Cricetulus griseus: one gene and its partners. The protein of the gene in region 1 purifies or fractionates together with the protein of each later gene. This does not show direct contact. Links are inferred from orthologs where the notes say so. Each region holds a gene or a part of one and is shown on either strand. Other genes may lie near its edges.

Region 1 (4,158 bases):
TAATACACTGTGGGTCTCTTGAGGACTCCCCATGCAGTCTAAAGTGGGCTAGTTTCACAAGAGAACATGTAAAGTGGGTAGAACAGACACACACACACACACACACACACACACACACACACACACACACAAGACACATGCGATTATGCCCACCCAATTAACAGCCAGGAATAAATATACAATTAATTCCTTGTAAATGTAAACTGCTGAGGACATGGCTCTCCGCTGGATAACAGGGCCACAGCAACAATTGTAAGAGTCTATCTGGCCTCTCAAGGACCTGGGTTCAATGCCCAGCACCACATGCATAAAAATGAAGGTAGAGTTTTCTAAAATAATGATTTCTAAAGCATTCCAAATGTGGTGAGTTTTTGAAAATTCCAAATATTATATCAACTTTTTACTGTTTTTATTTTCTTCACACAACAATAAGGTTTTTGTTTGTTTGGTTGGGTTTTTTTTTTGGGGGGGTTGGTTTTTTGAGACAGGGTTTCTCTGTGGCTTTGAAGGCTGTCCTGTAACTAGTTCTTGTAGATCAGGCTGGTCTCAAACTCAGAGATCCGCCTGCCTCCACCTCCTGAGTGCTGTGGTTAAAGGCGTGTGCCACCACTACCTGGCTTGGGTTGATTTTTTTATTGGTGTTGTTTTGTTTGTTTTTGAGAAAAGGTTTCTCTATAGACCAGGCTGGCCTTGAACTCACAGAGATAGATCCCCCTGTCTCTGCCTCCTGAGTGTGGGATTAAAGGTGCATGGCACCATCACGCCATGCCCAGGTTAGAGTCTTTAACAGTGCTTATTTTACCAAACTTTTCACTTGGAAAGGATCAAACTTGCATAAATTATTACTGACTAGTATGCTAAGTATGACTTTTGTTAATGATATATTTAAAAATCCTACCTAAATTTGTATTTTTAAGCATTTTGTTCAAAATTTAATTGTTTCTCCAAGGACAGGGTCTAACTTTGCAGCACAGGCTGGCTTCATTCCAAATTTAATTATTATTTTTTGAGACAAACTCTGGTAATGTAGCCCATGCTGGCCTTGAATTCAAGATCCCTCCTGCCTCAGCCTCCTGAGTTTTGGGGTGACAGGCCTTTAAGAACAAGCTAGGCTTCTTTTCAAATTCATATTTTCAAATTTTCTTGCTCTTGACGTTGAAGTACACATGCCTGAATGTACATAAATGAAGCATACACCTGCTGGGTTCACAAGACTCCTCAGCTGTTTCTTGTAACAAACTTCGAGTATTTTAATTGGATAATAACAAGGAAGAATTACGCCATCAAAAATATATTCTCCTTCTCTCCAGTGTGAGGCAATGGCTAGGTATGCAAGGCACTGTCGGATCTCTAGTTTTGAAACTGTCAGAAAGATTATCCTTAAAAAAGAGAGAGTGACGAGTAGCAGCATCAGCGTCCCCTCAACTGAAAGCTGTTCCAATCAGTAACACAAGTTTAATTTTAAATTTAGGGGGAAAAATAACCCATTTTCTCGAGCCTACTGAGTCACTATGCCTGAGATCCAGCAAAGTCAAGATAAAAGTAAGTTCGGAACTTGAAGGTGAAAACCCCAAAGGACTCCACCTCAGCAGCCCTGCAAGCCGGGTCGAGTGCCACCAGCACCGGAGGGAGGAGAGGGTCTCAGCACGCGAGGCTGCGGGACAGAAAGGCAGCGGCCGGGCCAGGCCTGGGCCTCAGCCACTCATCCGGCCGGCCGGCCGCCCCTCCCGGGGACCGAGCGCACCGCAGCTCTGGCCGCCGGCCCTTCGTCCTTTGCCCTTCGCAAGAAGCTGTTGAAAACGACCCGATGTCACTTCGCGGGTCGCACCTCGCTGGCTACCCTCCAAGGCCACCCCTCCGGAGGCTCCCCCAGGGCCCGACGCCAGTCCGGGGAGGGTACGGGAAGGGACTTTCCTGGCGCAGCAGGGCGCAGGGTGGGGTAGCTCCCATAGCCCCGGCCCGAGCGGGCCGCTTCACCGTCGAGGTGGAACTGCGAGTCCGACTCACCTTGGGGCCCTCGGGAGGCACGCGCGGGTCGTTCCATGTCGTGGTGCGACTGTTGTGGTCCACGAAGAAGGGCCAGCCGGTCTGCGGGTCAATCTTGATCTCCCAGCCCGGAGGCAGGGGGTCTCGGTCACCGGCTCCGTTGCCGGACGCCATCTGTATCACAGGAGACTGGGTTGCGGCGCTCATGCTGGGTCGGGGTCCGCCCGGGGCGCGGAGCTAGGGCGCGGGTCAGTCACGAGGTTGTGGAGTGCTGGCACCTCTGCGTCGCCGACGAGTCCGGGAAGCCGGCGCCGGGCACCTTTATGAATTAAAGGACTGGGTGACGTGGCCAGAGAGGGGTGGAAGTGTCTGGAAATAGACTCCTTGCTGCCAAAGGGGAAGGAGGAGATAAAGGCAAGGCAGCAACTGGCCGGCTAGAAACTTCTGGTCCCATCCAGAGAACTTGGCGGTCGCCGGGGGTTGGATGTGGAGCTCCGCCCTGAGTCATCGGCTATAATCGCGGCAGGGCGGGACCGTGGGCGGGATTGGAGGCGGGGATTTGTCACCCGTCCCTCCTCCACCTCCTCCACCTCCTCCCCCTCCTCCTCCTCCTCCTCCCCTCCTGTCCCTCTCAGCAGCTGTCCCGTGTGCGTCCCGGGCCCTGGGCGCCTCACGACGGATGGGCGCGCACCGGTGTCCTGTGCACTCAAGGCGGCTTTGATCTCCGAAGTCACCGCCACTCCTTCGGGCCGCTTGCGGTGTCCCGGGCCTGGCAGTCCGGGGGCCGGGTGACTGTGGCCCCGCCTCTGTGGAGGGACTAAATCATCTTTAAGCTGGAAAAGTTTCGCCCGCCCCCACGCCCAAGTACGCTAATATTCCGGGACATTGGCGTCCTGCAGTGACGTTTCTCTCAAGGACTTTGAGACTGCTCCCTTGGAGTTCTGGAATGCTGGTCTGACGTCACAAAAAAAGAAAGGAAGGAAGGAAAGAAGGAAGGAAGGAAGGAAGGAAGGAAGGAAGGAAGGAAGGAAGGAAGGAAGAAGGAAAGAAGAAAGAAAGAAAGAAAGAAAGAAAGAAAGAAAGAAAGAAAGAAAGACAGAAAGACAGAAAGAAGGAAGAAAGGGAAGTACTGTTGAAACTCACCTGCCTGCTTTGGAAACCTGAAGAACAAAGAAGTGACGGTTTTAAGCTCTTGGCCTTCTCTAGTATAGACACTTTCTTCCAGTGACTAGCCTTTTATTCTCTGGGATTTGTAATGAGTTTGTTGTTTGTTTTTGTTTTTAATAGTAAAGGGGGACTCTGATTCGGAAAGTAAAGATGAAACCAAACCCTGCAATTTTGTTTGTTTAAATGGCAATCAACTCCTAATCCTATTGCCTTCCTAGTTCCCAGAGCACTCCAGAGAGAGAATGTGTGGGGGGATACACTTAAGGTTCTCAGGCATCTAGACTCACTCCCTTACTGTAGGAACACCTTGAACTAATTAATACTCAGTCCAATTTCCCAACTCAGATTCAGAGAATGTTAGGGAATCTTCAAAGATACCATCTCTGGCCTCTTCTTCCCCTCAGATTTTTATTTTGTAGCAAATGCTAGAGGGTTCTGCCAGATATTTCCGAGACTTCCTTACAAACCTTGAAGCCCCAAAGCCTCAGTATAAGTACTGGCATGGCTAGCCTTCAGGGACTGCCTCTGTAACCAAACACACCTGGGACTGATGTGTAAGCCCAAATGTGGGTGTACTGATTTATCGTCTGATAGTCATATAGAAAGTTCTAGACTCTTTAGATTCACTGGCCAGTGTCTGTCTTTGACTTCTTTATGCCTGAATCCACCCAGCACATGACTGGGTCCAGAGTCCATCTTCCATAAAAGAATAAAGATCAATGTTTATTGACTACTGAATGACAAATGAGTTTTTTAAGGACATGGTCTACCTATGTAGCCCAGGCTGCTGTTTAACTCTCTGTAGAGCAGGCTGACCTCCAATTCACAGACATGTGCCTGCCTGTCTCTGCCTCCCGAATGCTAAGATTAAAGGTGTGTGGCCTGGCTATGTCTTGGGTTTTTGTTTGTTGTTGTTTTGTTTTGTTGAAAAGAAAGATTTATTTATTTTACATGTATGGAAGTTTTTGCTTGCTTGTGTGTATATACGCCATGTGTGTACAGTAC
Region 2 (4,243 bases), on another chromosome or scaffold:
TTTGTCAGGGTCTCTCTATGTAGACCTTACTGACCTCAAACTCTGGAGACTAGCCTGTCTCTGCCTCAAGAAATGATTTCTTTCTTTTTTTCCAAGATGGTTTCTCTGTGTTTGCCCTGGCTGTCCTGAACTCCATCAGTAAAACCAAACTGGCCTTAAACTAGAAACCATCCTGCCTGTTTGTCCCAGTGCTGGAATGAAAGGTGTGTGCCAGCTGGGCATTGGTGGCGCACGCCTTTAATCCCAGCACTCAGGAGGCAGAGGCAGGCGGGTCTCTGAGTTCGAGGCCAGCTTCTCCAAAGCTACACAGAGAAACCCTGTCGGGGGTGGGGGTGGGGGGTGGGGATGGGGGGTGGGGGGGGTGCCACCGCCAGTGTCCACCCTAAAACTCGGTGATATGATTCCATCTTTCACTTCTCCAGGAGGCAGGAACTTGATCTACAGAGCAAGTTCCAGGACAGCCAGCACTATTACACAGAGGAGACTTGTCTCAGAGACAAAAAGAGGCCAACTTCTCAAGCTGTGGAGCTGGGTCAACTGGCCGAATAATTTGGTCGCACAAGTCTGACAACTTGAGTTCCACCCTAGTAATCCATGAAAGGAGGAGAACTGACTCCAAAAGTTGTACTCTGGGCCAGGCATGGTTGAACACTACAGGCAGACACAGGTGGATCTGTGAACTCCAGACTAGCCTAATCTACATACCAAGTTCTAAGCCAGCTAGAGCTAAAAAAAAAAAAAAATGAACCCTGTACCCAAAAGAAAATGAAGAGGACAGAAAAAAAAAACGGGGTGGGGGGTGGGGGAGAGAGACACAAAACAACAACTTAATCCCAGCACTCGGGAGGCAGAGTCAAACTGACCACTGATTTCCAGAGCTACAAGTGAGAGACTAAAATCTAAAAAACAAAAAAGAATTAATTCAGATATGGTACTGTAGAGCTATATAAATGCAGAGGGTTGGAACTAGCAGAAGAGAGACTGATGGATGGAGGATTCCCACATGTGTGCTGTAACACTCGCTTCATAACCACACAAAGTGGGAGCTAACTTCTTAGCGGGGTGTGGTGAGGCACCCCCTTAGTTCCAGCACTGGGGAGGCAGAGGCAGGCAAATCTCAAGAGTTCAATACAGAGTGAGTTCCAGTACAGCCTAGGGCTACACAGAACTCCTGTCTCAAAAAAGCAAAACACAATGCCAACTTCTTCAAAAAGCAAACACATGAAAAGCCAAAATTTCCAAAGTCTGCTGTGGAAAAAGTGATGGGAAGAGAAATCACAAACATTTCTTCCTTTCTATCAAATCAACCCGTACCTACACAAAGGCAGCATATTTCTTCCCAGATTTCTTATTTCTTCTAATTCCAAAGGTCCACTCGCAGTTCACGGCAAGTGTCTGCACTGATCACTGGCGGCGTAGTAATCACACACCGGAGGGCAATTCCCCCTGTGGTGGGAATTGCCAAAGAACTTCCCAAAGAGAGTCCCGTAACAGATGTGCTCAATTACTTCACGACCAACGTTCAACGACTAGGATGCATTTTCGTTAGGGCCGTTCCCTTCTTGGCTGCTTAAGTCTAGTTTTTCTACTAAAGTAGCTGGCTTTTAGTAGCCATCACTCCCCTAGCAAGCAGTAAGTACGGAGTTCAATTCCCAGGATTGCAGGGCCTAGAAAGGGGGATACAGTGGACTTACTAGCCATAAAACCTGACCACAAATCTATGGTTCAAATAAAGACATTAATAAAAACAAAGTGAGTGCATTGGACCTACACTCTCCACCTGCTTGGGCGTGCCTGAGAAAGTGGGACCATCCCCTCCGTTCCCTTTCGACAATTCACACACAACTTCGGTAAACAAGTTTTAAAATGTCTAACAATTCATTCTATAAAATAAAAACCGCCAGCCCCCCCCCCCAGTTTTTTGTTTTTGTTTTGTTTTGTTTTCAGGACAATCTTAAGGCTTGCAGCGTAGGGTTCCCTTTTCCACAGGACCGAAGCGAATTAAGACTTAATGTAAACTTCAGTTACATAAACTTTTAGTTACATAAACCCACAGCGAGGCACCCTGGAAGGCTAACAGCAAACGGGTTTTGAAAGTAAACGGCGCCCAGTCAGGTCGCCTAGCAAAACTTCCCAACAGTCCTGGGCCGGGAGAGCCCGGCCGGCAGCCTGAGCCCGTGAGCGCGCCTCCCCGGCGAGCCCCGCTCCTCTTCGCCTGCCACCTGACCCCCTCGCTTGCAGAATGCACTGGGGACGCCAGGACAGGGTGACACCGGCCTCGCCGCCTCCCGCGGCCCTGTGGCGGAGCTCGCGCGTGCCGGGCCCAACCGCCACTACAGCCCCGGGAGGCAGGGAGCGGAGCCCGGCCGGGGCCGGCTAGGCCTGAGCGGACCGGCACGGCCTTCTCCACCGAGCCGGTCTAGACCCGGCCCACGCCAGGAAAGCCCCAGGCCTCGGGCCGCGACGCCGGGCCGCCGCTCCGACTGGAGCCCGCCCGTCCGGCCCTGGCGAGCGGCCCCCCGTCGGGCCGGCGTCCCCGCGGCCGTGTGTGTGTGTGTAGGCGCCGAGCAGGTCACCCTACCCGCGCCAGCCGACGGCCCGCCCCGCCCGCGCAGTGGACCCTGCCGTCCGCCCGGTCCGCAGCCCCTCACCGAGGACGCGGCGGCCGGCGAGGGGGGGAAGTCGGGCGGCTGGTCTCCTCGCGGCTCTGGCACAGCTGCGCTGGCGGCGGTGGCGGCGTCTCCTCGCGCTTTCCTTTCTCTCCTTTTCTCCAACAACAAACAGGAAGTGCGTCATGCGGTGGCGGCGCGGCGACGTCCACTTCCGCCCGGTCCTGACGCCACGCATGCGCAGCAGCGGTTACCGGCTCGGGCTCGTGCCGGATTCGAAAGCGCCCCCTTCGCACTCGGAAGAACCTGGCAGCCTTGGTCGCGGATTCCGTGGAGTCGCTAAGGAGGAAGTCGAGAAAGCAGAACGAGCGGGAAGCGCCACCCTGCGCTAACCCTCGGTTTGGAGACCTCCGGAAGCCGGCGGCGACTCCCGGGCGAGCCTGCCTGACTGGCCCCGGGGCCTGCGGTTGCCCGGAAGCAGACTGGGAGGAAGGACGCTCACGGCCTCTGTGGAAACTGACCCATAAAGTTCGCAGATAGCGAGCGACCAGATAGATAGCTTCGTGTGACTCACGCTCTGTGGACGTGGAGTTGTAGTCATGAGGTTTGGAGGAAAGGCTCGCACACTTGAGGCTCTGCCAGGCCGACAAGCAGCCCCGATTTAGGAGATCCTCCTTGGTGTCCCTGTCCCCAAACTTCATCACTTATTTGGAGCAGGAGAGACCCGGTCATCACCAGCATGGAATGCCAATAGAATCCACTGTCTGATTTTCAACGACCTTCTCACCACAAAGGATGTTTTTCCCCTGTTCTTTTAACCCCCTTTGGCTTTCCGTTGAATGAAATCTTTTTCCCAAATGTTAAACATTGACCCCTCCAAGGCCCAGCACAGGCTAACCGAACATTGTACCCGAGGGCCCAAACCCGCCCTCTTTTAAGATGAGGCGCCTCTTGAGTTTCAACCTCTGACCTTGAACTTTCCAGCTCAAAACGGTTAAGTCCCTGGAATTGCAGGTTTTGTTTTACAAACCTCCACCAGGCTCAGTTTACCCGAGATGCTGGACAGAAGGCATTTTGCACATTTCTTCTGCTCAGTAATAAGAAACAGCAGTTTCAGTGGGGCTTCCCCAAGTGTGGCTCATCTACCTAAAGGCTCAACCTCCGAAACTAAGACCTTAGCCTTAGGGACTAAGGTCAATACCACATTCAGTCTGCCCTGACTCTAAGGGTCCCGTGCTCTGGCTGATTCCTCTCAGTTGCCCACACCCTCTGCGCATCTCCCCGGTGGAGAAGTTATAAGCTTCTAACGCTAACAAGAGTTCTGAATATTGATGTTCATGTGCTGTCCTCCTGAGCACAATATCGTATATACTTTTCTTTTGTTAATGTGCCTACTGCACATCTATTTAATAGACTTGCTAGATAAAAATTACAACAGGTCGTCCGGCAGTGGTGTCGCACGCCTTCAGTCCCCACTCTCGGGAGGCAGAGGCAGGTGGATCTCTGTGAGTTCGAGAACAGCCTGGTCTACAAGAGCTAGCTCCAAAGCCACAGAGAAACCCTGTCTCAAAACCCTTCCCCCCACCAAAAAAAAAAATTACAACAGGGCATTTTCATAGACTGAGCTTTTTCAC
Region 3 (4,120 bases), about 200 Mb from region 1:
TTCTTTTTACTTTTATTTCATGTGTATGGGTGTTTTACACGGGGACCCTTATTTCTTTTTACTTTTATTTCATGTGTATGGGTGTTTTACACGGGGACCCTTATTTCTTTTTACTTTTATTTCATGTGTATGAGTGTTTTGCCGGCATGTTAATATGTGCACTACATGTGTGCCTCGTGCCTGAAGAGGCCAGAAGAGGGCATTGAATCTTAAAAGAAAAGAAAGCAATGGAGAAAGGGAGTGGTCGGCCTGGCCTTGACCAGCATGCCTCAGCAGGACGGGATGAGACCTGAAGGCTGCAGCTGACTTGATGGAGGTCGTGGAGACCTCGAGTACCATAGAGACAAGGGACAGCAAGAGGAAAAAGCAACGCAGACAGAACAGCAGAGTACCAAGGAGCATTTCTTCAAAGATGACATCTCCTGCAGGAGTTTGAGCCGTCGGGACAATGTTGGGGAAGGGGGATGTATGTAAGGATGGTAGGAGGGCGTGGGGGGGGGTCGTGCCCCCCACCATTCACTCTAACACTCAGGAGAATCGGCTTTCCTTCCCTCTGCCGTGACAGCTCCTTCCACCCCACCCCCACAGGACGGACTGTGTGCTCGGGAGGGGTGTTCAGGGGATACAGTCCGTCCCAATAGTGGTGCTTGGTGGATGTCGCAGAGCTGTGGACTGCTGGCTCTGTCTGGATGGACTCTTACTGTCAGGCCCCATGTGGGGCTAAGGGCCTCCTCCAACTCCGTTGGCTCTTACTATTTATTTGTTTATCTATTATTTATTTCCTTATGTATTGGTTTCCAGATTATCCTGCAAGCCTAGCTTTGGTTGGTTGGTTGGCTTTGGTTTGGGGGATTGAACCAGGGGTCTCTACCACTGAGCTACATCCCCAGCCCCGGGAAAGCTAACTTGCAACTACCCTGTCTCGCTGCTTCTCCATTCCCTGGAATTCAGAAATTCTGAAATCTCCGGTGGCGCGGACCACGGCCGCTTTGACCTGTACCGTATCCCTGACAGAAGGGTATTATGAGGCTATTCTCCCCTACAAGGGGAGAATGAGGTGAGAGAAGACCTCTACAGCCGGGGTGTTTTAAAAGGCTGCTTTCTCTTCCCCCTCGCCAGTGGGAGGCGCAAGGGGCTTGGGTGAGAGCCCGGAGCGGGGCGCAGGCTGGCGGCGACCAGGCTCGGGAGGGTCATTGCCCGGGTAAATGCGCGACCCTCCGTCCCTGTCCTGGAGACTCAGGGCTTGGGGACGGGGTGGGGCCTCGCACCGACCCCGGGATGTCCACTCGCGTGGCCTGGGGAGGGCGTGGCCTAGGGCTCCGCCCCCTTCCGCGGGCTCAAAAGGCGCGGCGTCCGCGGAGGCGGGGTCAGAGCGCAGCGCGGATCCCAGCAAGGCTCCCGGAGGCCGCCGAGCCGCGGCCCAGCCGGGCACCCAGGTACTGGCGGCCGCGGGGGGTTCCTGGGCTGCACCCCGTGGGGTCCCGTGGCCCGCTGAGGTGCTGCGGGGGGCGTGGCGGCCGTGGCCTGCGCCGGATCCCCTCGGTTGGCTTCGGCCGCAGCCTCCGCCCCCGCCTTCCTGCGGCGGTGCGGCTGATTGGCGCCTGCGCCACCGTGTGCGGTGGGGACGCGACCAAGCGCGGGGCTGGGGCTGGAGACGAGGGGAAACAGAGTCACGTTGGGAAGGGAGCTTCGTGCGTGTGTGCCACCACTTTTACTGGCTTCCAGAAAGAGTCCCCTCCCTGGCCGCGCGTTAGGGACATGACCCCCGCCACTCTCCATGGGGACAGCGCCCCGTTTCTTACCCCCCTTGCAGTGCCCGGGGTCCCACCCTGGCTTCCAGCAGCCTCGACCTGTCCCAAAATGGCTAGGACCCGCTGCAGCGGCCTCCTTCCTCGCCCCTCCCCCTCACGTCCCGAGCCCCTAAAGTGCTCCCTCCACGGGCTCTCCACAGTGTCAGCTTACACGCCTTATATAGTCCGAGCAGGCTCCAGCGGCCTGCTGGGACCCGGGGAAGGAGGGGGAGCTGGCCCCTGACTCACCCTGCCGCCCTCCTGAGATTCCAGGTTAGCTTGGGCGAAGCAGTGCCAATTAGCCCCACAGCCCACCCCCGGGAGAGAAAAGAAGTTAGACTTGATGAGAACTTTGCTCACCCTCCCAGTGGCAGGGGCCAGGGTGGGGAACTGACTTGTCTGTTGCCTGTGAGGTCTGCCAGCCGGGAGCCCCGCCAAACCCAACAAGATACCTGCCTCCCAGTGCCTGTGTGTGCTGAGCGTCTCTCTGTGCCTTCTGGTACCTGGCTAACGCTAGTGACCAGATCTGGACCTGCTGGGCCATCTGCAGTGCTGGGTGCGGCCACTCACTTTCTCTTCTGTCCTCACAGGAGCAGGCACCATGGATTCCTTCAAGGTAGTGCTGGAGGGGCCAGCACCTTGGGGCTTCCGGCTGCAAGGGGGCAAGGACTTCAATGTGCCCCTCTCCATCTCTCGGGTAAGCCTAGACTGGGGAATGCACTCCCCAAGGGTTCTTGGGTGCCCATGTTTCCAGCAAATGGTGGGAAGAAACAGCAAGAGCGAGCAAGCTGCTCAGGGGCCAACAGGACACCAGCATCCAGGTCCAAATGGGCCCTTACTTCAAGGACTCCTGGCTAGGTGGATAGTGGAATGGGGAGCCCCCCCCCCCCAGCTGCCCTGCTTTGACATGGTACTTGATGCTATTCCAAGCCCCCTTGGCCATCTGTGAGTGCCAAGGAGAAGCCTATTTTACAATATGGGAGGTTGATGTCTCCAAGAAGTGCTTTAGCATGAAGAACAGTGTGTGGCACCAGGTGCCAGGCAGGACCTAACTTTAATGTCACTGCTATCCAAGGCATAGCAGTTGTCATCCTGCTTTGCCAAGTGACAGGACTTGGAGGGATGGAGGAGCTCAACCAGCAAGTCCCTGGCAGAGCAAGAATATGAACTGAGGCACAAAATGGCTTGTCCTTCCTGTAAGTTTAAGGGGTCTCTTCCCAGCTGAGTGAGGACTGAGCAGGCTGAGACTCAGGTCCTCAGCCTGCTGGTTCTGGTCAGGCTGTAGTGACCTTTGACCCTAAGCAGAGGTGTAGTGAGGCTAGCCTCCAGGATTCTTGTTCCCATTCTTCAGTCTGCCCTGATGGGGGGTGGGGCTGGGAGCTGACTCCTCCCTGTGGCAGGGGGATTGCCTTATAAGCCCAAGAATGTAGCCCCAGCTGGGATGGCCAACAGTGGCCAGTCAACAGAACCCAAAAGGGTTGGCCTAGGTCTAGGCCCCTTAGCGCCATTGGTGGGCCCTTCACCTGATCATCAGTCATTTTGTGTCAGTGGGACTCAAAGCAAACTTTGTGCCAGAGTGGGTGAGGCCAGGGCGCCAGCTTGGTAGCTCTGACTGGCCTAGGGGGTCAAAAAAGGGGCAGGGACTTCCTGCCCTGATAGCCTCCTGCCTAGAGAGGCCCACCCAGCCACAGAGTAGGCATGCAGCTGTTGGCAGGAAGCCCAAGGCAAGCCCAGCCCGAAGGGGCCTGAGAACTTCCCGACACTGCTCAGCCTGAGAGGGGTGTCAAGGCTGCATCTCTCAGTGGGAGCTGGACATCAGATATCGGACATCGAGGCTAGGGCAGGCATACAGACAAACAGGCTGCGTTCTTCCCAGGACCCTTCCCTGGGGCCCTCTTGGAATCCGCCCCAACCAGCAGGGTGACTAAGGCAGTGGGCCCTCCCCCCATGCACATCCTACATCTCCCTCCTCCCGGGAGTGCTGGCCAGTGTGGTGTAGGGCTTGCTTTCTTCCTGGGTAACGATGGCCTCTTAGATGTTGCCTGTTGGAGGCACTCTGGTCCCTGGGTTCCTTTGTCAGCAGCCTTAACGTGTGGGTGGGGCTACCAGCTGAGCCCTGCCCTGGAATGGGTGGGGTGGTCTTTCCTAAATTGGGCCAGCCTGCTATCCCTCCCCTGACCCCAGAGTAGAGGGAGGAAGGAGGGGCGAGGCCTGGCTGTGGGCCCAGGCCTGGAAAATGAGGTAATGTCTGGGATTTGGGGGTTGGGCAGCTCAGTAGAGCTCCCAGGCTGACTCACCCACATCCATAAAGCTGTCCAGCCCCCTGGCTT
Region 4 (4,246 bases), on another chromosome or scaffold:
CTGGCTAGTAGGTCAGAAACATGTTCAGGAGCTGAGGAGATGATTAGGTAGGAAAGAGAGCTTGCTGCACAAACATGGGTGTCTGGGTTTGGATTTCCTAAGTGCCCATGTAAAGCTGGGTGTGGCTGTGTGAGCCTGTAAGTCCAGTGCTGGGTGGGGTAGAAAGAGAAGGACTGTTGAGGCTTGCTGACTAGCCAGCCTAGCTGATAAAAGGCAAGCTCCAGGTTCAGTGAGAGAAGCTGTCTTAAGGGAACAGGGCAGAGAATGTTAAGAGAGGACACTGGATGTCCTTGCCTTTATATATATTTGCTTGAGTGAGCATTCATGAGTACACACACACACACACACACACACACAACACACACACACACACACACACACACACACGAAAATACACATTCATCTTCAGAACTAGAAGAAAATTAAACCAAACAAAAATCACCACCATCTGTACTCTCTCGAGCCAGACAAACTTATTTCTCATGTTTCTCTTCAATATTTCTAAAAAGGACTGGATAAAATGATCTCATAAAATTGGGATCAAGCTAGATACAGGTTCTGAGCTTTTGTTTTTTATTTAGGTTTGTTCCCCCATTTCAGAATGCACTGAGGTGGCTCTCACTTAGGAGACAGAGGTAGTACAGCACAAAGAAGAAAGGGCCAGTGTTTATCCAAGTATTGAGCCCTACTTGCTGCATCTCTGGGTACTGGATTTGGAGGTGCCTTTGTACAGGTAAAGAGAAGCCTACTGAGGAAGGACAACCCCCATCTATGTGCACGTACTGTATGGATCTCACTGGGATCCTAAATTTCCCAAGGCTGTGCTGTCCTCTGGGATCTGTCTGGGGAAACCCCTGGATCTCCTGAGGTCCCTGTTCTGGTGAAGCACCTGTAACTGAATGAGGGTCAGGGATGGGAAATCAAATACCACTGAGCTAGGGAAAGGTAGTGATCTACTCTGTGTCTAAGTGGTAGGGATGAGCAGCTAGACTTAGCAAGGCTCAGAAAAGAATTTTGGGGGCTAGACACGCTTTCCCATGTATCCAGCCTCCCTGTTCCCTCCAGGAGGATATGTCTGAGAATAGTGAGAATTCTGACTGGAAGTCACTCAGACTATGAGTGTGGATCCAAAGTCTCCAGAGCAGTGGGCCTGCAGTGAATGCTGTTAAGAGGCTACCAAGCCAGTATAAGTGCCCACAGGACATGGGGCAGGAGTGGCGGAAGCATCATTTCCTATCTGTGGACCAGAGAGCTCCATTCAAGGAGTTCTGCTGTCCTTGTCTGGTCCAGACAAAGGTGTTCTTCTTCCACTTCTATGTCGGAGCTTGGTTGCTATACTCATGATCATGCCAGCTCCCATGGCCATGTCTCATACCAGCTAGAGCCCACTGCTGCTTTGTACAGACTACTTGCCCATACCTCCCCACATGCCAGCAACGCTCACAGGTGATGTGCAGCTGGGGCTGGAGGGAGGTCACAGGGCAGATCAGATCCATCTTCACACTGAGAGGCCCCCATCAGAACATCCTGTCCTAGAAGAATGTTCACTGGCACTTCACCCACATCTGTACCAATCTATAAGCAGAAACAGCAGGGAGATTACCAGATAGGATGGAGCTTCCTAATAGGACTACGCTCAGACCATTCCAGAGAACACTTGGTATCCCTACTGGACCTAGGTAAGGAAGCTCCCTTTCAGTTAAACAAGCAGAGGTGGAAAGTTGGGGAAAGATAGAGGAGAGGTGGTGAACTGAAGATGGCCTTCATGAAAACATACTGCTCCTTTCCAGGACTAGGTGAGAGAAAGACCCATAGAGAGCCAGTGAGGTAATCACAAAGACTTTGTAGTGAAAAGTGAAGCTCCGTGGTTTCTAGTCTTGGCAGAGCAGAGTTTAAAGAAACAGGCAACTGGGAGGCAGAAGCCTTGGCCTCTACCTTCCACCCTGGCTTTGCCATTCTTGCCAGTTTAAGAGACTAGTGTGCAGGAGGGAGGGCTCAGCAGAGCCAGATTTGGCTTGTAGGAGATCAAGTAGTTGGCAACTAGCCGTCTCCACCCTTCCAAAGGCTCCCTCGGGATCAGGATGGCCTGTCTTCAGGCCATCATTTGTTAGCTCTGAGCTCTAGCCCTCACACCCAAGATGTGAACAACAGACTCTACTTTTCAACTCGACACAAACGCAGACCTATTTCTGTAAGCCAGAGCTGCTGGCCCAGCAGGGTCTGTGGTGTATACAGCCCGCTGCCAGGCAACAGAAGAGGGCTCGACGCCGCCCTACCAGGGCCGGGCAAAAACGCTCTGGCGTCTGAGGACTATAATGGATGAGCTTGGGCTTCACATCCTCCTCTCTCGCTCTTCTGTGCATTCTCTAGGCCCTCCACTTAACTCTGAACGGTTGCCTACAAGCAGAAAGGCAGACGGACTCTGGGAAGCTATTCATCTATGAGTCAAAGAACCTGAACTGGAAGCCCCGACATCATCGTCCCAGTGAAACTTAGGACTCTGGTTCCCGGCCTACTCTCCGCCGAGTGGCTCTGGGGGCGGGGCTCACTTCCTCCCCAGGCAGCGGCGTTGTCCCTCCAGGATGCCTGAACCCGGGCAAGCCCGGCTACCCTTAGGCCTCTTCTTAGTAGGTCCCCTCCCGGAAGAGGACCCCACTCTTGAAGGCCGCTCCGGCCCATGCCAGCTCCTACCGGGCTCCAGCAGATGAGCGCGTCGGTGTCCGGGTCGCTCACGAGGGTCCACAGCTTGGTCAGGAAGGCCGGGACGTTGCTGGGCCCCGCTGCACCGGGGCCCAGAGCCAGATCCATCTCGGACGAAGCGGGTGGAGGCTGGGATGGCGTTCTAGAAGAGTGGTTAAGGGCTGAGCTAGTGTCGTCGCTGCCCCTGCTGTCCGAGCCGCTCCGCCGCCCGCTGCGCACACACAGCAAGGCCTCGCATGGCCGCAGCCATCTTGCGACCGGCGCGCTCTCGCTAGGGCCGGACCTGTATCCCGTGTGCGCAGGCGCTGTGACCTGCCCCGCCCACTCCACTGGCCCTGCCCTTGGGCGGCCCACCGCTCTCTACGGCTGCGCAAGATGGCTTCACCCCGGCTGCTCACCAATCAGAGCCTGGTTGGGCGTGGCGTGTCTGAGGGCACACGAGGCGCGCTCGCTGCCGGAAGCGACAGTCTATCGGTAGCCGGCGCGGCGCAGCATGGCGGGGGCGTGGGGTAAGCCCCACATGTCACCAGAATCGCTGTCGGGGAAGCGGCGTTTGGAACCCGACCAGGAGCCGCAGCCACAAGAGGTAACCTCGAGGTGGTGGGTCGCATCCCTCTGTGAATCAGGTGTGCACGTGGCAAAGCCAGGGAGGCCGGACCCTGGTACTGTGTCTGGTGACTGGGGGGTCGCCTAGAGCCCGGAAGAACCTCGTCCTGTCCTGGGTGTTATTTTGGAACCCTCAGAAAAGCACTACCTGCGCCGAGGGCCGCTAGAACGTGGCTTGAACCTTGTTAAGGAAGGAAGAGACCTTTAAGAGTGCCTTTCACCACAGTCTCTGAACCTTCCATCTGTGTTTCCTGCCCTAGAAAAGATTTTAGTTGTGTTACCATGCCAGTATGTCAAGTGTGTTGTGAAATAAAAGAGGACATGAGAATATAGAAGCCTGAATGGGACCCAGGGCATCCAGTACTGGTTGTCAGGGAATCATTGCTTCTCCTTGTTGCTGGGCTACTTAGACTTGCTGGTGAGGCTCCAGCAATCTAGGTGGTAGAAGGCACGCACAACCATGTCTCTTACAGGTGACTCCACAATCATTGGCTGTTCTCTTGTTTTATTAAATGTACCTAAGCTGTTTCCTACATGCAGTTCTAGGTAGTTGGCCCTTTGTAGTCAGTTGTTTGTGTACTACTTTTACTTATTATTGTGATATGTGGCTGAGTTTTGGAGATGTCAGTAGTAGTAAGAGAATCACTTGAGCTGTGAATATTTGGTAATGAAAGACACTCAGCTAGGCAAGAATTATCCAGTGGTAGTGGCACACATCTTTAATCCCAGCACTGAGGAGACAGGGGCAGATGGATCTCTGTTAGTTTGAGGCCAGCCTGGTGTACATATCGAGTTCTAGGTTAGCCAGGGCTGCATGGTGAGACCTTGTATTAAAAAAAAAAACAAAACCATGAATCTGAAACCCAATTAAGACTTAACTTAGCCTATTGGAAAAACAGTGAAATTGAAATTTCTGCAATTACATGGTTCCTAAAGAGTG

The links.
Region 2: the proteins of Bag3 (region 1) and dnaJ homolog subfamily B member 6 purify together in Homo sapiens (co-immunoprecipitation; 3 studies listed by BioGRID and IntAct, with this or other methods). This does not show direct contact. The link is inferred for Cricetulus griseus from reciprocal best matches to the Homo sapiens genes BAG3 and DNAJB6.
Region 3: the proteins of Bag3 (region 1) and Pdlim7 purify together in Homo sapiens (affinity purification with mass spectrometry; 3 studies listed by BioGRID and IntAct, counting the BioPlex papers as one, with this or other methods). This does not show direct contact. The link is inferred for Cricetulus griseus from reciprocal best matches to the Homo sapiens genes BAG3 and PDLIM7.
Region 4: the proteins of Bag3 (region 1) and Hsf1 purify together in Homo sapiens (affinity purification with mass spectrometry; 3 studies listed by BioGRID and IntAct, with this or other methods). This does not show direct contact. The link is inferred for Cricetulus griseus from reciprocal best matches to the Homo sapiens genes BAG3 and HSF1.

What each region holds. Positions count from the first base shown.
Region 1 is NC_048596.1:72,277,274-72,281,431, forward strand, and holds the start of Bag3 (BAG family molecular chaperone regulator 3), read right to left. Parts: upstream 2,807-4,158; 5' UTR 2,678-2,806; intron 2,534-2,677; exon of another isoform or gene 2,306-2,533; 5' UTR 2,194-2,305; coding exon 2,008-2,193; intron 1-2,007. UniProt on the Homo sapiens protein: Co-chaperone and adapter protein that connects different classes of molecular chaperones including heat shock proteins 70 (HSP70s), e.g. HSPA1A/HSP70 or HSPA8/HSC70, and small heat shock proteins (sHSPs), e.g. HSPB8.
Region 2 is NC_048601.1:92,980,039-92,984,281, forward strand, and holds the start of dnaJ homolog subfamily B member 6, read right to left. Parts: upstream 2,809-4,243; 5' UTR 2,652-2,808; intron 1,674-2,651; exon of another isoform or gene 1,315-1,673; intron 1-1,314. UniProt on the Homo sapiens protein: Has a stimulatory effect on the ATPase activity of HSP70 in a dose-dependent and time-dependent manner and hence acts as a co-chaperone of HSP70. Plays an indispensable role in the organization of KRT8/KRT18 filaments.
Region 3 is NC_048596.1:274,497,957-274,502,076, reverse strand, and holds the start of Pdlim7 (PDZ and LIM domain protein 7), read left to right. Parts: upstream 1-1,312; 5' UTR 1,313-1,436; intron 1,437-2,380; 5' UTR 2,381-2,391; coding exon 2,392-2,487; intron 2,488-4,120. UniProt on the Homo sapiens protein: May function as a scaffold on which the coordinated assembly of proteins can occur. May play a role as an adapter that, via its PDZ domain, localizes LIM-binding proteins to actin filaments of both skeletal muscle and nonmuscle tissues.
Region 4 is NC_048595.1:373,768,731-373,772,976, reverse strand, and holds the start of Hsf1 (heat shock factor protein 1), read right to left. Parts: upstream 2,809-4,246; coding exon 2,692-2,808; intron 1-2,691. Other genes in the region: ribosome biogenesis protein BOP1, read left to right, coding at 3,194-3,286. UniProt on the Homo sapiens protein: Functions as a stress-inducible and DNA-binding transcription factor that plays a central role in the transcriptional activation of the heat shock response (HSR), leading to the expression of a large class of molecular chaperones, heat shock proteins (HSPs), that protect cells from cellular insult damage.